Linked DNA regions of Mus musculus. The protein of the gene in region 1 purifies or fractionates together with the protein of each later gene. This does not show direct contact. Links are inferred from orthologs where the notes say so. Each region holds a gene or a part of one and is shown in the gene's direction. Other genes may lie near its edges.

Region 1 (6,122 bases):
CCTTTGAGGAGGTAGTGCTGTTTGCTTTTAGGTCTGGGTGCTCAGGGGCCCTCACTGATACAAGAGCCCATCTCTTCTCCTCACCTCACTGGAGCCACAGAAGCCAGGCAGCAGCTACAGGAGTTATCATCTGTGTCTTTTACCATGATTTGATTTGTGTTCTCAAAGCAAGTGTGCCCTTTGGTTCTGCAGAGCAGGCCCACTTCCTGTCCCTGAGCCCATCTTCATTTCTAGAGGGCTGACCCTGAGCACTCCAGAGTGCTTGCAGAGTTTGAGAAATGTGAACATGCTGTGGGGCTGAGCCTCTGCTATATCACCGTGAGCTGTAGGATCAGCTGGCTGGCTGGGTTGGTGAGTGCCTACCTTGAGGTCTCATGAAAGCTCCTGGAGCTGTGTGGTTGTCTTTGGTGCTGTTAACCCTTGGCTCCATTTGACCATCAATCTGAGCAATGAGCAAAGCAATATCATATCCATGTTTATGTCCCTCCTCCTTCCCTTGCTCCTCCTCTGGAGAAGCACTAATTACACAGGGGATAGCAAAGTAGCACTTTACAAATGGCCATGGCGTTCATCCCAAGAGCCACCAGCTCTTCTTACCATACCACTTCCTAACTCCTGTAAGGATGAGCCCAGTTAGTAAGGATGTTGGTAATCAGCAGAGACCATTCTCAAGGGTAGGTGTTCTGCAGCCCCGAATCAAATCATGTGAAAACCCCTTAAATGATCATTGGTTCTCAACCTGTGCCAGCATACTGCCTCTCTGTCTCCCAAATCAGAGCTCAAGCCAAATTCTTCTATCCTCTTTCCCTCTTGCATTAACCTTTGCTGATCCTCAGGGACCACTCCCCCAGCACTTTTGTGTTTGGGTGAGGGATGTTGGACAGAGCCCATTTTTATGTGCTGCAGGTTGGGGGTTGTGCTAACACTTTTGCTCTTGGTTGATGGACAAGATAGAGGCCAGGGAGTGAATAACAGTGAGAAGAGGAATGGCAGGTGCCTGTTTCATAGTCAGTGAGTGTGAAAGTTAGGCATAATAATGGCATCTCCCCACTTTAGGGTTCTCAAATACTTTGGACATCTCTTTCCTTAGAGCCAGGTAGATGTCTTACAGGTGAACTCGATGATGTGGAAAAGAACAAAAAAAGGGAGGTGAGGGAAAGGCTTGGGGTTTTGCGTGTTTGCATGAGTGTGTGTAGCTTCATGCTTTGGGAGTTGGCAAGAGGAAGAGGGAGGGAAGGGGAGCAAGCAAATCCAGGTCTTTTCTTGTACCAGTGGAACCTGCTCTGAATCTCCCAAGTCCTCCACTGTGAATTGGGCTGGGTGGGGGGGTGCAGGGGAATAAATCTTGTATGAGAACAATCTTTTAAGAGACTGCTGTTTCGTTGTGTACTTCCTTGATAAGTCTTCTCATTAATCTGATAATAGCTAATCTGGTGTGGTGATCCTCAGAAGAGGAAGCCCAGGTGGATGTCAGGGACCCTCCTGCCCTTTCTGTTTTTCCCTCTTGAGGCCACGTCTCCCCCCTACAACCAAGACATAAATATAACTAATACCTTGCGGGCATTTGTCAATTGTTATTTTTTTTCTCTTTTAGATTTATCTTTTTGTTTGTTTTTTTAGACAGGGTTTCTCTGTGTAACCCTGACTGTCCTGGAACTCACTCTGTAGACCAGGCTGGCCTCGAACTCAGAAATCCGCCTGCCTCTGCCTCCCAAGTGCTGGGATTAAAGGCGTGCGCCACCTCGCCGGGCTCTGAATAATGGCTTAATGAAGTTTTAGGTTGAAGGACTGAAAAATTAATACTGTGCCCTTCCACTGAGCTGCAAGGACAGCTGCTCTTTGACCGTCAGCAGACCTCAGAAACTAGAAATATTTATTTCAGGCTCCTCCGGACTGGCCACTGTGGTCAGGAATGGAAAGCACCTGCCAGGTGTGGCAGCTCATAACTGGAGACTTCAAGCTTTGTGGCTTGAGTAGCCCCCATTCCTAACCGTCTTTCTTGGGCGTTCAAATGACACTAGGTGTCGAGCGCCCCCTACATGCGACACGAAAATCGTTGGTGTCCTTGGCGTTCACAGCCACCCTCTGACAAAAGTACCTACAGGTCCTTTATACGTGAGAAAACTAGTCCCACTCCTGTGGAGGACTAGCTCTGTGCACCCTTGAGCGGCGTGGTAGATGACCCGGCTCCCACACCACGCGGGTTTAGCTCAAGGTCACGAGTGCTCAAACTCGGCCTAACAGGGTCTGGCGGCTTATAGAAAGGACCGCTCACCACAGGCAGCACTGCGGGCCCAGGAGGCGGCCGCTGACCTGTCACTAAGGCCGGGGACTGCGACTTCTTGACAGCCGCTACTAGGGCTACGGGGTCCCGGAAGGTCCGGGTACTCTTCCGGCAGGCTTCTTCCTTAGCCAATCAGCGTTAAGGTCCCGCCTCCTCACCGGAAGGAGGCGTTTCCCGGAGCAACCGACCAGTCCAGCTCTCGAGTTTGGTGGCGGGAAAGGCCATGAGTAAAAGCCGGGCCGAGGCTGCGGCTGGAGGTAACGGCAAAGCCCGCAAGACCCGGGAGGGGAATAGGAGAGGGGGTCGGAGGTGACCCCCATATCCTACCTCGTCTCCCGCAGCCCCCGGGATCATCCTGAGGTACCTGCAAGAACAAAACCGGCCCTACAGCGCCCAGGACGTGTTCGGAAACCTACAGAAGGAACATGGACTGGGCAAGGCGGTGAGAACCCCCTTTGCGGGGGCTCCCTCCCCGCTGGACTCCCTTGTTAGCCTTGGGTCCTGCCTTCCTTGTCACAACAGAAATCTCCCCCGTCTGGGGTCGCGCTAATTGTTTCACCCTCTCCTCTGCTAGGCGGTAGTGAAGGCGCTGGATCAGCTGGCCCAGGAAGGCAAGATCAAAGAGAAGACCTACGGCAAGCAGAAAATTTATTTTGCCGATCAGGTGAGAACTCAGATTAACACTCACCTGAGAGCTTGTCTGAGTGAATCTCAGCATTTCGTGTGTTGAGGCATGCCGGGCAGTGGTGGCGCACGCCTTTAATTCCAGCACTTGGGAGGCAGAGGCAGGTGGATTTCTCAGTTCGAGGACAGCCAGGGCTACACAGAGAAACCTGTTTCGGGGAAAAAAAAAAAGTGTTGAGGCACCTCACAAAATAATCTAATCAGTGGTATGAAAGAGCTTCAGATACTCTTAAGTCAGTTGTACGCTGCACGCTGCCTTCATCAGTGTTCATTTGAGCTATGAACAAAGGAAGACCCTGACTCACAACTCCTAGTCTCGTTTCTGCTATCGTTTCCTGCCAAATCATTTTTCCTCTTCCTCTGCCCCACTACCCCAAACACATCAAATTTACATTCTCCTACCCAGACTTCTCTCTGGATAATTATTATCCAGATAATATTGAGTACCAGCATCGATATGGCCAATGTTGAATGCTTACTCTCTGCCCCCTAATTGGCTTTCTAGCATTTTTCTGTCAGGAAACCTCTCTTCTCAACCCAGAGATTAGAATGTAAGTCTTTGTCTCTCTTATTTATACACCTGATATGTGTGGCTATTTGTCAATTATATCTGATTACCCCCATCCACCCTCTTTTTTGAGATTAGCCCTCACTACGTGGCCCAGGCTAGCTCAATTTTATTTATTTATTTATTTTGCAGTTGTTAAATCTAACGTGTCATCACTGCTCTCAGTCAGACCCGCCTGTCTAAAATGATGTATTAAGGTTTAATCTTGGATGTTGTATCCTGAATGATCTATCTAAATGCAGATTGAGGCTGGCAAGATGGCTCAAGAGCTCCACTGTATTTTTAGACTTTCTAAAGCATTTGGTCTCACTTATTCTGCTCTACTTTGCCATTGAGCTGTATGCCCAGCCACTTAATTAATGTACAGATAGTCCCCCTGCCTCAGCCTTCCAGGTTGCTGGAGTGAGGAGCCTGTACCACTAGCCCCAGCATCCTCTCCCACTGTTGGGTTTAGGGGTCACCTACTGGTGCTTCCATATTTGAATGCCGCCTCCCCTGATGTGTATTTTTCTCTCTGTGCCTCATGGAATCAGCTATATTTCTCTTGGCTGGCAGAACCAGTTTGACACAGTGAGTGATGCGGACCTCCACGGCCTGGATGCCAGTATCGTGGCCCTCACTGCCAAGGTGCAGAGCTTACAGCAGAGCTGCCGACACATGGAGGCCGGTAAGACTGGGCCGTGGTTTGGAGGTCATAAATTGCTAACAGAATGGTTCCTTGACTGCAGCTAAGACCCCTTTGCCAGGTGCCTATGATGTTGCATTGAAAGAAACACAGAAGCCGGGCGTGGTAGCGCACGCCTTTAATCCCAGCACTCGGGAGGCGGAGGCAGAGGCAGGTGGATTTCTGAGTTCAAGGCCAGCCTGGTCTACAAAGTGAGTTCCAGGACAGCCAGGGCTATACAGAGAAATCCTGTATTGAAAAGCGGGAAAAAAAGAAAGAAAAGAAAGAGAGAGAGAGAAAGAGAAAGAAGGAAAGAAAGACTGACAGACAGACAGACTGACTTAGCTATGGCTTCTGAGTACAACAGAGCAAGACAAGCCCTGGCCCTTTGATCACACTGCATCTATTATTCCCATTCCTTTAATTATCTGTACAGCACTCGGCTTAGCCTTACAAGGCACTGTTGCTTTTAGATGGAGCAGGAAAGAAAAATAGGAAACAGAGTGATGGTGCTCTAAGCCTTTTCTTGAGCTTTTCCAGAGTGTGGGGTCCTATTCTAGAGAGATCCCAGAGCAAGACGCAAGTTGACCTCCCACCTCTGGGACGCGCCTGCTGGGCAAGGCAGGATCCCTTCTTCACTCGTCCCAAGTGACTCTTGAGGACATGTGTTTTCAGAGCTGAAGGAATTAACAAGTGCGCTGACCACTCCTGAGATGCAGAAAGAGATTCAGGAGTTAAAGAAGGAGTGTGCTCAATACACAGAGAGACTGAAGAACATCAAAGCAGCTACCAACCATGTCACTCCAGAAGAGAAGGAGAAGGTGAGTGGGGAGGCTGCAGGCTGCCTGTGCAGGTCTGCAGTGAACAGACACAAGGAGCTCAGACAAGCACACTCCTTCCTTTCAGGTGTACAGAGACAGACAGAAGTACTGTAAAGAGTGGAGGAAGCGGAAGAGGATGGTGAGTGGGAACCCCAGGGTGCTTGTGGAAGGGACAGTCACCGGGGAAGTTGGTGTGGAATGATCCTGCCGGCAGGCAGCGCCTTGTACTGCCGCTGCTCACCTCATAAGGAGGGGCTTTGTTTCTTGTCAGACCACAGAGCTGTGTGATGCGATCCTTGAAGGCTACCCCAAGAGCAAGAAGCAGTTCTTTGTAAGTGATTCTTCTCTTTTGCTCCCCTGGAATCTTTGCCCAAAGGACTCCTTCATTACTTTCTTTGCCCCACAGGAGGAAGTTGGAATAGAGACAGATGAAGATCATAATGTTTTGCTCCCCGACCCCTGAGGGGCCCTTGGTGGAGGTGGGAACAGAGCGTCCTGCGCTGGCCACCTTACTTAGTGGCCTTTTTATTCTTGCTGTTCTCCACCTTTGAGCAGTGGACGGAGCACAAAGCCATAGTGTTAGATAGAGGCTGGTGATCAGAAAGGACGGTCATGTCCGTTTTGTACAGGCCTCAACAAGGACTTAAAACAATCCTAAAAGAAAGTATTTGTAATATTTATTGTAATATAATTTGATATAAAAATACTTAATTTCCTCTGGATGATCAAACCTCCCAGATATCAAACCTGGGGAAGGCAGTAGGAAACATGGGATAAGAGTACAGAAAGGGTGCCATACACCAACATTTGAGACTCCCAAGGGATCGCCCTGGCCTACCCCCAGAAGACTTGAGGATCTCCTGTCCCACCTAACTCTATCCCCAGGCCCCAGGAGAAATGGAGACAACACACTGGTGGGGCAGATACACACATTATGCAGAAGAGGCTGGGGCTGCTTTGGAGGTCTGCTAAGAAGTTTGGGAAACTGCATATAACAAAAATGCACTGTGGGTATTTAGAAGATAAATTCAAATATGTAATGCTGCCTTTGCCTTTGGGAAGACAGGGCAAGAGCTGATGGGACGCTGTTTCCTGTAGCAC
Region 2 (6,164 bases), on another chromosome or scaffold:
GCTTGAACATGTATGAGACTTCAAAGCCCACCTCCATAGTGACACACTTCCTCCAACAAGACCACATCCACAAAATAGTGCAACTCCCTATGGGCCAAGCATTCAGTCACAGGGTTGATGGGAGCCATACCTATTCACTCCACCACTTACAGCTCAGTAAAGGGCTTGCTTTGTTGGTGTGAAGACCTGAATTCCATCCCGAAAATGTATATGAAGTGTTGGACATGGTGGTGTGTTTGTGACCGCAGCCCTGGGGAAGTAGAGTCAAAGAGACCCTGGATCTTGCTTCCAGGAGATTCTAGACTACTAGGGGTGCTAGAAGCTAGAGTGGGAGAAGCCTAGTAGACTCTGGAGTCACTGGGGTCCCAGTCCCCCCAGCCACTGTTCCACTAGCATGGCAACATTCTTCCAGCACCACCAGCTGCTGAGTGGTTGGAAGCCATCATTGACAGGTGACATCCTGGGGATTGGGGACACCAGGTAAACAAGAGTAAGTGTGTGGGCATGCTAGCTGTCAGAATGATCGGGAACAAAATCAGACCCACCCACATAGGGGACAAGAACACCACTGAGAAGAGAAAGGAAACATCACTCCGTCTGAGAACTGGCTGGGGCCTGTTTGGCTGAAATATGACAGACTGCCAGATTGTAGCCTGCTAGTTAGCTCTGAAGGTTCCCCATCTTTGACAAGATGATACCTCTCATCTTCTGCAGATGAAACTCTTGCTTTTAAAGTAGTTAACTGTTCAGCTATTCCCTCCCACGGCATACAAGACTCAGAGCTCACAGTCTGAAAGGTTGGGGAAAGATGTTTGTGGCTCATTCATAAGAGTTTGTATTTTAAGTAGCTAGGAATGATTCCAGTTCCTTTAAAGCATGGATTTAAAAGGTATTTGCGAGATGATTATAAAGCAAACTGCTTGCCTTCTAGAGACAAGGTTCCCCGGCTAACCCACCCTGCTGAGCACACAGCACTCAGATTGTTTCTTTCCATAAGCCCACACGCCTCTAGGGACTGACACAGCTCATTTTACTTCTCAGCTGGTCTGTTCACCGTACAACAGAAGCTCTAATTGGTTGACTTTTTGCTCAAGTATTTGACTGACTCTGTGCTTTGACCTCAGTCTTTAAAACACATAAATTATGTGCATAGATGAGCAACCAACCACACTTCACCATCACCTGGGAACTTTCAGTAAAGATTTCAGGTCTAATATAGGTTGACCAAAAAGAAAATGACTAAAATTGCTTGCATTTGTATAGTTGTTACTTGATTGGATAAACTTATTTTTATTGTAATAATAATAATAACATAGGAAGAGGAGGAGGGGGAAGGGAGAGAGAGAGAGAGAGAGAGAGAGAGAGAGAGAGAGAGAGAGAGAGAGAGAGAGAGACTTGCTGTCAGGAAGCCCTGTCCTGAAAACCTAGGATTGAAAAAAAAACTTAAAAAAGTAACTGTGATAAAGAGCAAATTAAGAACTCTAGAAAAGCGTTAATAAAGTGGATGTGATGAAAACTCTGTGTCACATAATTGACAGGAACATCTCTGCTATATGCCTGTTGTCAGGGTATGAGCATGGCAAGCAGGTTTGGATACATACTCACCCCCATCCCCGACTATTGCTCTCCTTTGTAAATGCTTTGGATGATTTTTGCTAATCACGTTTATCCTATCTTATAAAATAAAGGTTTTAGTGAAACTTTGAGAGACAGATTCACTAGTAGTTGCAAGAAATAATTTAGAAAGCTCCCACATACTCTTTATTAAGGTCTGACAGTCAGCAGCACTAGAATATTTACGTTTCATTTGTAATGCAGAACACCTGCACTACTCTGTACACTCTCACCGCTCTGTATCAGAGGACTTTTTAAGGCTAGAGGTTGGTGCTCGCCTTTAATCCCAGCATTTAGGGAGCAGCAGCAAGCAAATCACTGAGTTCGAGGCCAGCTTGGTTTACAGAGAGAGCTCCAGGGCAGCCAAGGCTACACGGAGAAACCTTGTCCCAAAAAAGCCAAATAATAAAATTAAATAAGACAAAAATAAAATAAAATAGAAAAAGAATTTCTTTTCTAAATGTACTCGTTTCTTGCAGCCAAAGCCCCATATTTTTTTTTTTAAGCTAAAAGAACACACTTAAAAGCGAAGACTCAAAAGTTGCCTTTTAAAAAGAAAACTAAAAGCTACATTGAACACTTAAGTAGTAAGCAACTCTGCAACCCCAGAGGCACGGGAAGGGAACAGAAGCCTTCCCTGCTCCAGCTCCCACGCCAGGCCCCAACTTTTCCTTTCTGCCTACAGGCTGCCCAACCCAGACTGGTCCATCTGGTCTCAGTCCGGCCCTGCCCATCTCAGGCTCCTCCCCTACTGGACCTGCCCATTATTTCAGGCCGCGCCCCTCACCGCCCTGCCCATCTTCTCAAGCCCCGCCCAGGCTCGGCTCCTCCCTCGGGTCCCGCAGTCCTACCAGGGCCGCCAGGGGTCGTTGCATCTCCCCTGCACTTCCTCCGGTCCTTCCCACCCCACGCGGTTGTTGGCGCCAGACTCAAACAGGGAGGCCGCCTCGCGCAGCATGGTAAGAGCGAGGCTCCGACGCGCGCACCTCTGGGCTTCGGGGCCGCGGCAGCAGGGGTTGTGCCTGGCCAGGCCTTGTGAGGTTGGCCCCGCGCCCACTGCTGCGCCCGAGCCCTGATGGCGGCCTGCGCCGCCCTGGTTCCGAACCGGAGCGTTCTAGAACCGAATCCAGAAGCCCCGCAAGTTGGACCGATCCGCGGCTCCCGACCGAGAACCCCAGGGCGCACGCGCTGCGGAGTTGGCCACTGAAGTGTTCAGTGCCCTTCGGTTCTCCTGGAATTAGAACCCGGGGCCTTTTACTTGCTTGGCACGGCGCTCCCCTTTTTCAGCTGCACCCCACCACTGTACTTAGTATGCTAACAGGAGCCGCCCAGATCACTCCGCCTTTAGATCATGGCAGTGACACCCCCACCCCACCCCGCACCCCCGCCTTTAAGGGCAGGGTAGGACGCCCCACCCCCCACCCCAGCCTCCCCCACCCCCCACCCCACCCTGCTCTCTGCGGGCCAATCCTGGTTTACTACCAATCGCCGTTGTCTATTCGGACTTAATGACTCTCTGCCCTTTGGATCGTTTTTTTTTTTCAACTACCTTCAAAGTTTTGTGTCATTCTTTCCACTTTTGGCGACAGAGTATCAACGAGTCGCTAGAGTGACCCCAGATTTTAATATCTTAATTTAGTTAATTTTGGTCGTCACACAGGGTGGACAAGGATCAGGTCGTTGGGCATTTATTTGAAAAAAAAAAAATTGCCCAGCTGTAATTATAACTGATAACGGCTTCTTTGTGGTTAAACTAACAGACGGGCCACCTGGGCATGCAATGGCCCAAGGAGCCCAGGACCAGATTCAAAACAACAGTGTTACCAGTGTTTGGTGTTATCATGTTTCTCTTTGTAGAATTTAAGTACCCGACTAAAAGGAACTAGGAATTATTGATGTGCCGGCCTCACCCTCTTATTTAACCCTCTTTATAGGGCAGTTGCCTACTGCCAAAGGGATTTAATGGCTCTTAACTCTTCACGCAGGTATTGCTATTAGTTTTATATATGAGCAGGAAAAAGTTCACTGTTAGTCTGGTCAAAGTTAAACTTTTGACCTCTTTCCGAATGTGAATTACTATTTCGATTTGGCTTGCTTTGGCAGGTAAACAATTACAAACGTAGGCCTGTAATCCCCAGATGGCTTTGCGTCTCCTTCATAATCTGAAGGCATCTGTGTTTTACCACAAGGAAATACCCCTCCCCAGTTTTGAGGACTTTCTTTTCTTTTTCTTTTCTTTTTCTTTTCTTTTTTTTTTTTTTTTTTTTTTTTTGGTTTTTTCGAGACAGGGTTTCTCTGTATAGCTCTGGCTGTCCTGGAACTCACTCTGTAGACCAGGCTGGCTTTGAACTCAGATCCGCCTGCCTCTGCCTCCCTAGTGCTGGGATTAAAGGCGTGTGCCACCACCGCCTGGCGTTCTTTTTCTTTCTTGCTGAAGTCTCTAATGTCAGTATGATGTCCATTTTACATTAGTTGTTTTAAATCTGACCTTGGATGTTTCCAACTGTGATTAGTAAGAACTCCTAAAAGGCACAGGGATAAATCATGCTGGAAGTCATGCTCCAATTCAGCTGCGTTTATATGATGTTTATATTGTGGTAGTAAGAGCGTTCCGAAACTGAGCTCCCCGGGACATTAGAGTCTCCTTGTTGCTTGCCTCTGGGGGATTGTAAAGAACTTTCCAGAAACTGTTTATAATACCAAAATATTAGGATTTGTCACCCCAGATGTGGGCTCTGTTTTCTCCTGATTTAGCCACATGATTAAGTCCTAATGTAGGGAGCTGAGCAAGCCTTGAATGAGTGAAGACCCCAGTGAACCTGTGTTGTTGACATGCATGGCCTCATCAGAGACACCCCCCCCCCCCCAGCTCCAGGCTTAGAGAGGTGGCTATGTTTCCCCCAGAAGAGGAGTGCGAGTTTTGACAGTCTGTGTGGAAAATGTTCACTAGCTTTGCTCCCTTGCGCACGTTTATGGCCTGAAGACCACTCACTCCCCTAGAGAGACTGCTCCTTGGTTACCAAGATTAGTTAAACCTGCCTCTGTGTTCAGATGTATGTAATAACCCTGCCTCCATGTTTATCTGTATGTAAGGCCCCACTGTAAGAAGTACCCTGCCTCTCTGTTCAACTTTACAATGCACGTACTGAGCTGCAGTGCTGCAGGTTTTCCATCCAAGAGCCCAGACCACCCAATCCCAGCTTTCTGCTCTGCTTTTCCTTCATTCCCTCACTGCTCCTGTCAGGCCCAAGTCCCTGGAACCATTTAGGGCAAAGGCACTGTACCCTAAAGAGATTTCCATTTCTTTCACAGAACCCCTGATGTCCTTGGTAATCTAGTGAGAAAAGCAAGTTAAACAGTGGAGGATACTTTTTAAATGTACACACCCAGGTCCGTCACTAGCACTGCAGTGTAGTTTACACAGGGTGCCCGAGGCAGTAGCCTTTCTGAAATTCTTAGGTGAGTATATATATGGTAGCTTGCTCTCACTGGTGAGGGAGGCTTAGCTGAGGAGTCTTGCTGGGTGTGATCTTCATGATTGGCTCAGCTACTGTAAGAGAGCAGTGTGGGAAGGCTTATAGAACCCTCGTGGATTCTAGCTCTGAACCTGAGGTTTAGACCGCAGTTCTTCGGAGCTTCCTGGAGCCTGGGTACCCTCTTGGAGAGAGCATTTTGCTTTCTCTCTGCAAGCAAGATGATGGCCGTGGGCTTTCCTGCTACTTAACTCACCCTGGGTTGTATAATTAGGAGTGTTGTGGGCTTTGAAGCTTGAGCAGCTTAGAGTTGGCAGTTTTACTGGTTGTGGTCCTGAAGTTGAGGGCTGGCTTCTATGTCAACTCTATCTAACCAGCTTGCTAAGTCCTAAGAAGGCAAAGGAAAGTGGATATTCTGAATTTTCTCAGTCTGCTGAGAGAGTGCAGTAAATGATACAATGCAAATGTGTCTTGGGAACACACACTCAGCCTGTGAGCTCAGCAGAGGGAAGCTGGTGGAGAGAATGCACAAATTATGCTTCAGGGGAACTTTCAGAGTATTGAGTGTGCAGAGGAGAAATTTTTTTAGGTAGAGGAATAATTTTATCATCATCATCACCACCATCACCCAAATTACATAGTTTTTCACCTTGTTATGGTAAATTTGGGGGTGGGATCTACTTTAAATAGTAGGTTGGGGTCAGGTGATAGAGGGCCTTCTACATCCTATTAGGATGCTTGATATGAGGATTGGAACCATCAGAGGTTTTAAGGAGCTGCACAGTCCACTTCTGTTAGAGGATGAGACAAAAGTGTGTTTAGGCAGCTGAGGACAGTCGCAGGTGATAGCCAATGAGGGCTTGAATCCAGGCAGAGGTAATGGAGTTGGCCAGGCAGGACATATTAGAGAATAGTTAGGAACCAGTGTTGACAGAACTTGGTAATTGGGAAAAAGATGAAGGCACCTAGGATGGCTGCCAGGTCTTTGGCATAAGTAAAGAGCGTATCTGAGACCTGAGATGTCGAATAGCAGGTTTGGAGTGTGTGTAGGAGAGAAAGAATTCAGTTTGGATCTGT

What was found.
Region 2: the proteins of Psmc3ip (region 1) and Mnd1 purify together in Homo sapiens (co-immunoprecipitation; 6 studies listed by BioGRID and IntAct, counting the BioPlex papers as one, with this or other methods). This does not show direct contact. The link is inferred for Mus musculus from reciprocal best matches to the Homo sapiens genes PSMC3IP and MND1.

What each region holds. Positions count from the first base shown.
Region 1 is NC_000077.6:101,091,762-101,097,883, reverse strand, and holds Psmc3ip (homologous-pairing protein 2 homolog), read left to right. Parts: upstream 1-2,448; 5' UTR 2,449-2,507; coding exon 2,508-2,541; exon of another isoform or gene 2,542-2,625; coding exon 2,626-2,726; intron 2,727-2,858; coding exon 2,859-2,948; intron 2,949-4,069; exon of another isoform or gene 4,070-4,091; coding exon 4,092-4,203; intron 4,204-4,875; coding exon 4,876-5,021; intron 5,022-5,106; coding exon 5,107-5,160; intron 5,161-5,292; coding exon 5,293-5,352; intron 5,353-5,427; coding exon 5,428-5,484; 3' UTR 5,485-5,743; downstream 5,744-6,122. UniProt on the Homo sapiens protein: Plays an important role in meiotic recombination. Stimulates DMC1-mediated strand exchange required for pairing homologous chromosomes during meiosis.
Region 2 is NC_000069.6:84,152,071-84,158,234, reverse strand, and holds the start of Mnd1 (meiotic nuclear division protein 1 homolog), read left to right. Parts: upstream 1-2,448; 5' UTR 2,449-2,570; coding exon 2,571-2,573; intron 2,574-6,164. UniProt on the Homo sapiens protein: Required for proper homologous chromosome pairing and efficient cross-over and intragenic recombination during meiosis.